3 linked regions of the Ovis aries genome follow. The protein of the gene in region 1 interacts with the protein of each later gene in a biochemical or structural test. Links are inferred from orthologs where the notes say so. Each region holds a gene or a part of one and is shown in the gene's direction. Other genes may lie near its edges. The genes, in order: HMGA1, PRMT6 and PRKCA.

Region 1 (3,277 bases):
GCCCCTCCCTGCTGTCCCTCACCATCTGGGGCACTGGTCATTGGGTGGGCACCATCGGGGACATTTTTGACTTAGTGGATCTTTTTTCTGACCATCTAGAAAACCACCACAACTCCAGGGAGAAAACCAAGGGGCAGACCCAAAAAACTGGTAGGTGACTGGGGCAGAGGCAGCTTGGTTCTTCTGGGGAGACTGTTGAAGAGTGAGTGATGCTCCATCCTGTGCGCCCACAGAGGGAGATGGCTCTCCCTGACCTGCAGGGCCAGCAATGGTGGGACTTCACGTTTTCACCCAGGCCTAGGGAGGGAAAGGGTTTGTCCAGGGCCCCCGGACTCCTGGCACTCAGCCTAGGGCTTCTGAAGAGCTGTGTCCGTGAGAAGTGTAGGGTCCCGGGTACAAACCAGGCTAGACTCCCTGCCCTGCCTTACTGGGGGTGGTTCTTATCTTTTCCTTCCCCTGCTTCTGGTTCAGAGTCAGAACTTATAGGGTGGACCTTGAGGTCATATGGTAGCATCTCCCCACCCCGCCCCACTCCCCCATTGTAGTAATGAAGAAGAAGGGGTTTAAGCAGCAGCAGTAGAGGAGCTCAGCTCCAGAACGGGGCTGGGTCATAGCCTGCTGGGTGGGAGCTGAGGGGCCCCACCCCCATCTGGGCCCCCAGGCAGCTGGGAGTGGTGGCTGGTGGGCTGCGCCCAGATATCTGCAGGCTGGGCCCCTGCAACCTGTCCTCCTTGTGGCTTGTTCCTCGAGCTGTGTGAGCTGAGCCACCACCGGCTGAGGGGGGCTTGGGGTGCTGGCAGGGCCCCAAGAGTGAGTAACAGGAAACGGGTTGTTTTGGAGTTTGTGCCTGGCACGGGGGCCCTGTGTGGTGTCCCGACATTCCCGCCCAGTGAGTGAGCCCCGGCCGGCACACACTTCCCCTCGCTCCCCGCCCTGGCCTGGGGTCAGCCTGCGGCCGTGGCCACTCCACCGCCTAGCAGCTGCCCCTGCGGGCCGCTGAGGCCACCTGGCACCCTCAGTGGAGGGGGCTCACAGCCTCCAGCCACCCCTGCCCTCCCCTTCTCTCCCTGGCTGCTGTCTCCCACCCCAGGACCAGTCACTTCCTTGCCAACTTGAGCCCAGGGTTGCCCTGTGCTCTGCCAGGAGCCCCCTGCCCCTGGGGGCTGAGGGGCCTGGCTGTGTGTGAGACCAGCGTGTGTGGTTTTTTTTTTTTCCCTCCCTTTAAATTCTTCCTTTTTTATGAATGAAACTGGGCCGTGGAGGTTGCTGAGTCACCCACACACTCAGCCCTGACTCATCCCCCTTCTGGAGAGGCCGGGCGTGGGGGGGTGGTGAGCTTGGCCTCTGGGGGCGGCAGCGGAGGAGGGAGCGGGCCTGGCATTCTCTTGATGGCCCTGCCTACCCTGCAGGAGAAGGAGGAAGAGGAGGGCATCTCGCAGGAGTCCTCAGAGGAGGAGCAGTGACCGCCGCCTGCTCCCTCCCGAGGAGCAGTTTCCTTCTGGGACTGGACAGCTCCGCTCTGCTCCTGCCCCCCTGCCCCCAGGCCCCCCCCCACCCTCTACCTGCGCCCTCCCCGCCACACTACACTGCAGACCAGCTGCCACAGGGTCCCCGGGCCCGAGTGAGGAGCCACTCCCTTTGATTTCAGGTCCCAGCGACCCTTCACCCAGCCGCCCTCCCCAACAAAGCTGACTTCCACTTAGCCACTCCTGCGCTGCCGCATCCCTGCTCCCTGCGTGGTGGGGGCCTTGCTGGCTGGGCTCTCGGTTTGGGGATCCCCTCTGCCTCTCCCCTCTGGCTTCCCGATAAGGGGCCTGGGAGGGCTCCCCTGGCCTTAAGAGGGGCGCAAGCCCCATCTCATTCTCATTTGGACACGCCCCACTTCACTGTACTAGCGGCAGCAGGTGCCGCCACTGGAGAGGGGTGACTGCCCCGAGATGCCCCCCACCACCCCCTCTCCTTCCCGCCTTGCCTTGTTCCCACACTAGGTGGGGCCACCCTCTTGGGGGCTCAGGAAGGAAGGTAGGAATGTAAGCCCCCTCCCAGCTCTAGGCAGGCTCTAGCCCACCTTGCCCTCACCCTGGAATCCCATTGCAATGATGGAGAGAGTCCCCTTTATCCAGGTGAGGCCCAGGAGGCCTGGGCTCCCTGCAGCAGCCTCTTGAGCTGGAGCCACTCCCCACCCCTGTCTGCTTCCGCTCCAGGCCTCAGTTCCCCTCCTCCCTTCCCTCGGGGCACTAATAACAAGGAGCTAGTCTCGCCCACTCCCACCCTTCTGCTCCTCCCCAACCCCCAAGGTTCTGGTTCCATCTTTCCTCTGTTCACAAACTACCTCTGGACAGTTGTGTTGTTTTTTGTTAAATGTTTCATTCTTAGACATCCGTCGTTGCTGCTGCTACCAGCGCCAAATGTCCATCCTCATCGCCTCCTGTTCTGCCCACGTCCCCCTCCTCCAAGAAGCTCTTAGGGGAAGGGGTCTGGAGCAAAGCAGGCTGGGTACCAACTCCCCGAGTCCCAGGGAAGGTGGGGTCCTGCCCCTAGGATGCTGCAGCAGAGTGAGGGCGGGCGGGGAGGGGGCCCGTGTTGACTGTCAGGTGTAGGGGCCACCTTCTCCACCTGCTCTGTCAGGGAGGAGGTAGCCATTATTTGTCCCAGCCTGGGGCTCCCCTCTGGTTTCCTATTTGCAGTTACTTGAATAAAAAAATATCCTTTTCTGGACTGAGTCTTTTCTGTGGTGGGTGCCTAGAATAGGGAATGTTAGAAACCAGGGATCTCTAGTGAGTTGAGTGAAAAAGAAAAGGCACTGGAGTTGACTACAGGGAAGGTAAGCCCCTTTTGAAGAAATCACCTATACCCCTAGCCACAAAACATTTTATTTACAAAATATATATACTGAATATACATTAGGCCCTGTCACCATGGGAACAGCTCCAAAGCTATGTCTGGGAGGGCTAGAGAAAGGTGCCCGTGGAAGGGCAAAGCCCTACCTGGTAATCCCAGCCACCCTTTCACCCCAGGAAGAAACATTCTCATTAGTTCCTGGGAGTGACTGGTAGGTAGGCTCATCCCACAAAGGACTGAAAGCCGAGGAGGTGGGTCCAGTGGAGGCTGGTGGCTCTGCAGGGCTTAGGAGCCGGGCTGGAGGGAAGGGTGCTGGGGGAGCAGCAGGCTGTGGGGCCCTGGGCAATCAAGACCCCGTGGTTTGGAGAGGGGTGGATCAGGGGGCTCAGGTCATGTCTTGACATCCAGCAAGGGCATCCGCTTGTGCTGGTAGCCA
Region 2 (4,355 bases), on another chromosome or scaffold:
AACAAAGATCCAGCCCAGCCAAAAATAAATGAAAAAATTGTAATAAAGAAGTACAGCTGAGGATGTCAGGTCAATAAACTTATTTCATTCAATGACAGATTAATAGAGAATGGGCTGAAGGAACCTTCCCCCAGATAAGGAATACAGGCCCATTGTTAAAAAGAAACAGTTTGAGACTACAAGAAAATAAAAGTCAATTTTCTTCATGTTATTTTTTTTTAAGCTAGGAGAAAATTTTTTTCTCACCTTACTTGTGAAGAACACAGACATCCATATAGACATCACAAGTATTTTTAAATGCATTTATTTCTACTATGAACATCTCAGAGGGAAGAGGTTAACAGCTGATAGTTGACTAAAAGGAACACAGAAGAGGAAAAAAGGATTACCAATCTAGCCCAGACATGGAAACAGGCAGGAAAAAGTGAGTTGAAGCAGAGAAATGATCACAGGTGATGAAGGATTCCGTTACCTATGGAGGGAAAAAAATCAGCTACCAGAATACACCTAGCAACAGTTGCTTTTCAACTATTCCTCAGACTGGAAGTTTCCAAGATTTAAGCCTTGAATGAGTCACAGAATTACCGGGCAGAACTAAGAGCCAAATAACTAATCTCCTAAAATAGAGAACAGAAACTTAATTTTCAACTGCCTTGAAGATTCTTTGTTGCTGGAAGGTGCATGGGTAATTGAAGGCAAGAGTACTTACACAGCTTGCCCTAATCATTCCGTTCATTTGTGGTCCCACTGGAATCCAGACCAGGGTTTTACACTGTTGGGTTTTTACTTTGTTTCATTTACACTTTTGCATTCTGCTGCTAAGTCGCTTCAGTCGTGTCTGACTCTGTGCGACCCCATAGACAGTAGCCTACCAGGCTCCCCAGTCCCTGGGATTCTCCAGGCAAGAATACTGGAGTGGGTTGCCATTTCCTTCTCCAATGCATGAAAGTGAAAATTGAAAGTGAAGTCGCTCAGTTGTGTCCAACTCCTAGCGACCCCATGGACTGCAGCCTACCAGGCTTCTCCGTCCATGGGATTTTCCAGGCAAGGGTACTGGAGTGGGGTGACGCTGCCTTCTCCCTTTTGCATTCTACCTCCCCTGAAAACGGAGAAGAAAAACACGTAGTGCATTTTCCAAATCTCCACTTTTGGAGAGCTTTAAGAGTTGCAACTGTCCAGATGAGGCAGTAGGGTGTGCACGGTGCCGCCCAGAAAATTCTATATAATAAAAAATCTGGGAGTTGGACAAAACAAAACATGGATTTTCAGTTTTAAGTGGGCGTGTCCACGTCACGAAGGGCGTGAAAGCAAAAGAGACTGAACAATCTAAGGGAAGGAGAAGGAACGTAGAGAACCATGGAATGTGAGTGCAGGGGATGGAAAAGGGATTCCAAGACACCAAAGGAGCAAGAAAAAGAGCAGAGTACGGATCATTGGTATCTGGCTGACATTCGCCCGGCGACCTGCCAAAACCGGGAGGCACGAGCGCGCACTACAACTACCATAAGGCCCCGCTTCCTGGAGCCCGAGGCGCGGCGCGCAACGCACGCCGGGAGTCGGCCCAAGCCGCCAAGATGTCGCAGCCCAAGAGAAGAAAGCTTGAGTCGGGGGGCGGCGGCGAAGGAGGGGAGGGAACTGAAGAGGAAGATGGCGGAGAGTTGGAGGTGGCTGTGCCGCGACCCCGGAGGACTAGGCGGGAGCGGGACCAGCTGTACTACCAGTGCTACTCGGACGTATCGGTCCACGAGGAGATGATTGCCGACCGCGTCCGCACCGATGCCTACCGCCTGGGCATCCTGCGGAACTGGGCAGCGCTGAGAGGCAAGACCGTGCTGGACGTGGGCGCGGGCACCGGCATCCTCAGCATCTTCTGTGCCCAGGCAGGGGCCCGGCGCGTGTACGCGGTGGAGGCCAGCGACATCTGGCAACAGGCCCGGGAAGTGGTGCGGCTCAACGGGCTGGAGGACCGGGTGCACGTCCTGCCGGGACCGGTGGAGACGGTGGAGTTGCCGGAGCAGGTGGATGCCATCGTGAGCGAGTGGATGGGCTGCGGACTTCTGCACGAGTCCATGCTGAGCTCTGTGCTCCACGCGCGGACCAAGTGGCTGAAGGAGGGCGGTCTTCTCCTGCCGGCTTCCGCCGAGCTCTTCGTGGCGCCCATCAGCGACCAGATGCTGGAGTTGCGCCTAAGCTTCTGGAGCCAGATGAAGCAACTCTACGGCGTGGACATGAGCTGCCTGGAGAGCTTCGCCACGCGCTGCCTCATGGGCCACTCAGAAATCGTGGTGCAAGGCCTCTCCGGCGAGGATGTGCTGGCCCGGCCGCAGTGCTTTGCTCGGCTAGAGCTGGCCCGCGCCGGCCTGGAGCAGGAGCTGGAGGCCGGGGTGGGCGGTCGCTTCCGCTTCAGCTGCTACGGCTCGGCTCCCTTGCACGGCTTTGCCATCTGGTTCCAGGTGACCTTCCCCGGAGGGGACTCGGAGAAACCCGTGGTGCTCTCCACCTCGCCTTTTCACCCCGTCACGCACTGGAAGCAGGCGCTCCTCTACCTGAACGAGCCGGTGCAAGTGGAGCAAGACACGGATGTTTCCGGAGAGATCACGCTGCTGCCCTCCCAGGACCACCACCGTCACCTGCGGGTGCTGTTGCGCTACAAAGTGGGCGACCAGGAGGAAAAGACCAAAGACTTTGCCATGGAGGACTGAGCGTGGTCTTCTCTCCCAGCTACCTCCCAAGGAAGCCAGGCACGGAAGAGGCGGAGGGTTGGTCGGCGGAGTAAAGGAGATTTCACGTGCAAGTAGGGAGCGTTATCTTCCGTCTCCCTTTACCCCAGGGCTCCTGGGGAGGGAGAGTGACTTCAGTCTCGCTTCGTGGAGATTCTTCTGGCGATATTTATTAAAAAGTGTTTTCGATCCCCTGACACGACCGAAACAGCGTGTTTATTAAGGGCCCGTTAAACCTCAAAAGCACGTGGTACCAAGCACTCCTTTTTCTATTTCTTTTGTTTCTTGTAAATTAAAGGGGGAAAAGGGTATGAAATTATCAGTTTGTGAAGGTTCCATTCACTTCCCTGACACCTCACACCCTAAGTCTAAAGCCAGGGAAAGGGAAAAAGGGTTTATAGTTAGACTCCATGTATTTCCAATAAGACGGGATATCACTCCAGAGCCATATTCTCTCATTTTCTGAATTCCCTCTCTTCCCAGGTGCCTCTAGACTACAGTATTTTGTCCTCTTTTTTTAATAAGTTTTACTACTGATAACGTGGGGGAGGTGAATGAGGGTAAAGTTTAAATAACACCTACTTCCTTAAGATGCTAAAGTTGATGACACCTTACTCCATTAAGTGAAATAAACTTCATTCGTACTAGTACAGCATACCTAAGAAATCTAGAAGGGTACGTGTTGGAGAAAAAGACCTGAAATACAGTAAAGTCGTATGGACTTTTTGTCTTTACTGTTAAGATTTAACCAAGAAAATTTCATGTAAGTTCCATAGTAAAAATTTTGTGTGCTTTATAACAAACTAGTAGAGGCGATTTCTTCTGAACTTGGTCCAAGGGTTTATTTATCACCTTGGGTAAATTATTTAAGTAAGGAAAATATTTTCCCAGCTCGAGAATTAAAATCCCTCATTCAGGGGGATCATGTGATTTGGCCTACTAACATCAAGTGAAAATGTTTTTGTTAGTGTTTTGTTTGTTTTCTGTTTATTTAGGTCAGCTAAATGTGAAAGTTGTGAATTTAGGAAAATCATTTGTAATGTGAGTTATGTTATCAAATTTATTTTACCCATGTTTCCCTCCTCATCTCTGGCAAATAAAGCACTGGCATTCTCTATTTTTATAGATGAAGTAAGAAGTCTTGTGTACTGTTTGAGTTATAACTTTTGCCTTTTTAGTATTGTTCTTAAAAATGGTGTTATAACCCCTACAGAGCATAGCTTAAGGATAATCAACTATGCTTAATGTATGGTTTCTTTACACTAGTAGCTTTAGTATGCTAATAGAAAGCAGGTGTGAAAATCTGATCTGAAGCAGCTCTGTTGCAACAGTTTTTTCTTCTTTATTCATCACTTATTAATATACTTAAATATAACTAATTTGCTAAAATTTGGTATCAACACATGAGATCTGCCATTAGTAAGGGAACTATACATGTACAAAATCATCAGCTTTACAAGATCCTTGACTTGCAATACATTTATAGTTGTCACCACTGTTGGTATTAGGATAGTTAGCTTATGCAAATGGTACAGTCATAGCAATTTAGGCCTGGTTTAAACTAGAGTTACAAATTGGTTCCTTATGTTAAAGTCAACTATATTTTATGTTGAACATTTATTAGCATTTTAGTGT
Region 3 (4,100 bases), on another chromosome or scaffold:
GGGAAGCCCCGCCCCCTTCCACTCGGGCCCCGCCAAAAGTGGAGAAGTTTCTGACCAGACTAGCCGGCAGGTGCAATGTTCTTAAGCTCCAAGAACATTGGTCGGAAACATTGTGAGTGAGCGCTGGAAGTACACGCCCTTTAAGGGCGGGTCAATCGCTTACCCCTGTCAAAACAAAAGACATTCCTACCAACAGGCGTTCAACTGAGCAATCTTAAAAGAAATGGAACCCTACTTGGCCTGTGTACCATAAGACAGCATAGATCTTAGGAAAGGTTTCTTCCTTCCTTCCATCTCTAGTTCTTTTCCTATCTTCTTGAAGAATTCCACATATTCCTTTCCATACATGCGTTAATTTCTGATCTGAGCGAATCTGACAACGAAATAAAACAATAATGAAACGTTTCCCTCATGTATTTTAGCATCCTCGGGGCAGAGCTAACGAGTATTCAGCAAGTGACTAGTCGGTCCGGCCCCACGCGCGTGCTTCGCCGGGCCGTGCCAGCCACGCTTTCACGGGGCAGTTTCACTCGGCAGTTTGCAAACGAACTGGCTGCGCTCGGCACCTGCCGGTGGTCATCAGCCTTAGGCTGCAAAACCGTGTCTAAATGGAGGCTCTGGGCTGGTAAAGTCAAGAAGACCTGATCACCCACGCTGTAAGCGTGGTACCCAACGGGTAACGGGGTGAACAGCCAGGACAGGTCCTCCAGCCGTCCCGAGACATCAGACGCGTGTACCCGGCGCGGGGCCGCCCGGCTCCGGGGCCGCAGGCGGCACAGCGTGCCGGCCCCGAGGGGCTGAGCCTCCGAGCGGCGCGGGCGTCGGTCCCGGGACGGCGCTGGGTCCTGGAAGGGGGCGCGGCCGGGGGCCGGCCCGGGACGCGGGGCTGCGCCTGGGGCGGGAGGAGCGGAGCGCGGGAGGGAGGAGCCCGGCAAACCCGGGGGAACGGGAGAGGGCGCTTCCCGGGCGGCTCGGGGGCCGCGGGGCCGCCGGCTCCCTCCGCGCGCGCCCCCGCCCTCCCGTGCGTCCCCGCCCCCTGCGCGCGCCCGCGCCGGCCCTCCCGCGCGCGCCCCCGCCCTCCCGTGCGTCCCCGCCCCCTGCGCGCGCCCGCGCCGGCCCTCCCGCGCGCCCCCGCCCCGCCCGCCGGGCCGCGCTCGGGCATGCGCGGTGGGCGGGCCGCCCCCGCCGCCCGACTAGGAAGCGCGAGCGCCGGCGCCGCCGTCAGAGCCGAGCGGCCCCAGCGAGCTCGCGGCTCCGCTCCGCTCCGCGCCCGCCCGGCTCCCGGCCGCCCGCGCCCCCCGCGGCCGGAGGCGGCGAGGGACCATGGCTGACGTCTTCCCGGCCGCCGAGCCGGCGGCGCCGCAGGACGTGGCCAACCGCTTCGCGCGCAAAGGGGCGCTGAGGCAGAAGAACGTGCACGAGGTGAAGAACCACCGCTTCATCGCGCGCTTCTTCAAGCAGCCCACCTTCTGCAGCCACTGCACCGACTTCATCTGGTGGGTGCGCGCCGGCCCTGCAGCGCCCGCGCCCGGCGGGGCCCCGCGCGGCGCCGCCGCCTCCCCGGGCCGGAGGCTCGGAGCGCGGCCCCCGAGGCTGCCCGGGCCCCGCCGCGCGCGCCGGCCTCGCCCCGCGCCGGGCCCGCGAGCCGGGGGGAGCGGCGGCAAACTGTTGAGGCGGGCGCGGGGAGGGCGGCGGCCGGCCGGCCGGCGGGGCGGGCGCGCGGGCGGCCTCTGCAGCGGACCCGGGCCTGCCCGGGGCTGCCGGCGGGCTGCGGCCGCCGAGCCCAGGTAACTTGCAGGCAGCGGGGGCCCCCGGGCCGCGCTTTCCGCGCCGCGGCTGCCGGACAGGCTGCAGGGCCTCCGATCCCGCCAAGCCGGAGGGGATCGCGCGTGTGCTTGTTTCCTGGGGAGACGCTGATGACTTTGACTGACTTTCGAAAGGTTGTGACCCCTCTCCTCCCGTTGTTTTAAGAAAGCTAAACTAGGGCAGTTCAGATGCCTCACTCGGAGAAGCACTCGCTTTTTTCCTCTTACGTTGCCAGACAACCTCCACGCATTCTGTCACTTGCTGCTGTGTGCAGGAAGCCCCCGGCCCCCCAAGTCGGAGCCGGCTGGGCCTGCTTCAGTCCCCTCCGCCGGGGGGAGCGGCGCCGGGCAGCTAACTGCCCAGCCGCTGTGTGGCTCCTGGATCTTGCGGGGCTCTTGGGAGAACGAACGCTGCTTGAATGCATCACACGGGGAAACCGTCTCCAAGGGCGAGTCCCGCAAACGTGCTAATTAATAGGTACTTAACTTCTCCCTTAAGCTCTATCTGAACCCGTCACACCTGGGGGAATCTTTAAGGGAAAGCCCCACAGATGTGCTCATAAGGTGCTTAACGTCTTCGCTTCTTTTTAGAAATCCGCTCCAAAGCACACTTAGGTAAAAAGCACAGCCACCTCTCCGAATTATTTCCGAGGTATAGTCAGCGCCTGAAGCGGTTGAGCTCCTAGGCCAATGTAGACAAGACTGCTTAAGGTCAGTTCTTGGAGCCTCAAGGCAGAGAGATTGTATTTAGTTAAGGGAAGGTCTTCGGCCTCACGTGTCAGCTGTGAAATTCCATTAAAACAGAACAGACTGCCGATTACTTTTGCAGGACGAGGGTGAGGTAGGAAAGAGGCTTGCAATCTATACATCCAGGCTTGCTGAAGACTTCCCGCTGCCATTTGTTGGCCCCTGTGAACTGATGTGGCCACCAGGCATAGCACGAAGTGGAAATGAAGACCTTGTCCTCTTCTTCCCCATAGTCAATACTCTTCTCCACTTGGCTGCAGAGCAACCCCTCGGAAGTTCCAGGAAAATACTCCCCAGCACGGTCTAGCCGTGGTTTTAATTTTTCAATTTTCTTCTCTTCTCTGCTTCCCTGGTTTACAACTCAAATATTAAAGCACTGGTATTTTAAAACTGTTTGCATTTAAATTTTTTGGGGGGGTGGGGAGTGACTAAGTTAATTATAAAGATATGTGAAGTGCTTTGTAAATTTAAAATGCTATGTAAAGCAAGAGATTATGACTCATAACCTTCTGAGAATTTTAATGTAGTTCATCCTAGTTGAAATGGTGTTTGCAATTTAATGTCCATGTCGGAGTTCTCTGCTTAGAGAGTAAATTCTCTAAAGTAATTTACAAGAGCAATATAGCTTCTGAATGTGCTTGAATGCTGTTGGTTCACAGTAAAATAAGATCATCATCTCACATGCAAACGATAGGGATGACACTGTAAAATCTGGCTCCTTTAAGCCAAAATTTAGTGTTAAGAGTGATGCTATGTGGTGATCTCTAGGTAGATAATACTTCATAACAAATGAGGAAGCCACTTGTTTGTTTTTGGGGTGAAAAGATTTTCAGTTGGTCTTTAGGGACCAAATTCAGCCATCTTTGTGGATTTGGTTTTTTAACCATAAACTTCTTCTTGTTGCTTGAATATTGTAGCCAACAACTTTATAGTCATGTTCTTAAATTAAGTACTGATAAAATGTTAGAAAAAACAAAAACAAAAGCCTGGCAAGAACCTTGAATATGTTGAAATGAGTTCAGTGAGACTTTGGAGGCCAGATCTTTTCAAAGTTGACTTGACTACACTCTGAGCTGTTTAGGCATGTTTTCCTGTCAAATCATTGGGTTTCATGTGCAAATCTTTACCTTTGTAGAATGCTTTGTCATATAACTGGCTTAAGATGTGGTGTCAACAGAAAATAAGAAATTTTTCTTGTTTGTTTTTCAGGGGGTTTGGGAAACAAGGCTTCCAGTGCCAAGGTAAGCTGCCATGTTGGATTTTATTTTCAAGTACAACAAGAAGTAAGCATTCCAGACAAGAACAGTGTTTCCAGTCATCTTTTATTTGATAAAAAAGCAAAAACACATTTAGATGTTTTCAAAATGTGAGGGCTGTAAACTTGGGCCTGGGGGAAGAACACCATTTGGTATTTTCTGGTACTCTGCGTATAGACCTGCCTTTTTCTTCAGGGGAATAAAACCTTCCTGTAACTTTTTTTTTTTTTTTTTTTTGCCGAGAACGTTCTTGTCAGAAACTGCTGCCTCTGTGTGGGTGTTCAGAAAAAAT

What was found.
Region 2: of the proteins of HMGA1 (region 1) and PRMT6, one has a biochemical effect on the other in vitro, tested with the Homo sapiens proteins (2 studies listed by BioGRID, with this or other methods). The link is inferred for Ovis aries from reciprocal best matches to the Homo sapiens genes HMGA1 and PRMT6.
Region 3: of the proteins of HMGA1 (region 1) and PRKCA, one has a biochemical effect on the other in vitro, tested with the Homo sapiens proteins (2 studies listed by BioGRID). The link is inferred for Ovis aries from reciprocal best matches to the Homo sapiens genes HMGA1 and PRKCA.

The regions. Positions count from the first base shown.
Region 1 is NC_056073.1:8,467,123-8,470,399, forward strand, and holds the end of HMGA1 (high mobility group protein HMG-I/HMG-Y), read left to right. Parts: intron 1-99; coding exon 100-150; intron 151-1,409; coding exon 1,410-1,463; 3' UTR 1,464-2,718; downstream 2,719-3,277. Other genes in the region: SMIM29 (small integral membrane protein 29), read right to left, coding at 3,232-3,277. UniProt on the Homo sapiens protein: HMG-I/Y bind preferentially to the minor groove of A+T rich regions in double-stranded DNA. It is suggested that these proteins could function in nucleosome phasing and in the 3'-end processing of mRNA transcripts.
Region 2 is NC_056054.1:84,387,221-84,391,575, forward strand, and holds PRMT6 (protein arginine N-methyltransferase 6), read left to right. Parts: upstream 1-1,551; 5' UTR 1,552-1,574; coding exon 1,575-2,702; 3' UTR 2,703-3,851; downstream 3,852-4,355. UniProt on the Homo sapiens protein: Arginine methyltransferase that can catalyze the formation of both omega-N monomethylarginine (MMA) and asymmetrical dimethylarginine (aDMA), with a strong preference for the formation of aDMA.
Region 3 is NC_056064.1:61,844,223-61,848,322, forward strand, and holds the start of PRKCA (protein kinase C alpha type), read left to right. Parts: upstream 1-1,220; 5' UTR 1,221-1,323; coding exon 1,324-1,496; intron 1,497-3,761; coding exon 3,762-3,793; intron 3,794-4,100. UniProt on the Homo sapiens protein: Calcium-activated, phospholipid- and diacylglycerol (DAG)-dependent serine/threonine-protein kinase that is involved in positive and negative regulation of cell proliferation, apoptosis, differentiation, migration and adhesion, tumorigenesis, cardiac hypertrophy, angiogenesis, platelet function and inflammation, by directly phosphorylating targets such as RAF1, BCL2, CSPG4, TNNT2/CTNT, or activating signaling cascade involving MAPK1/3 (ERK1/2) and RAP1GAP.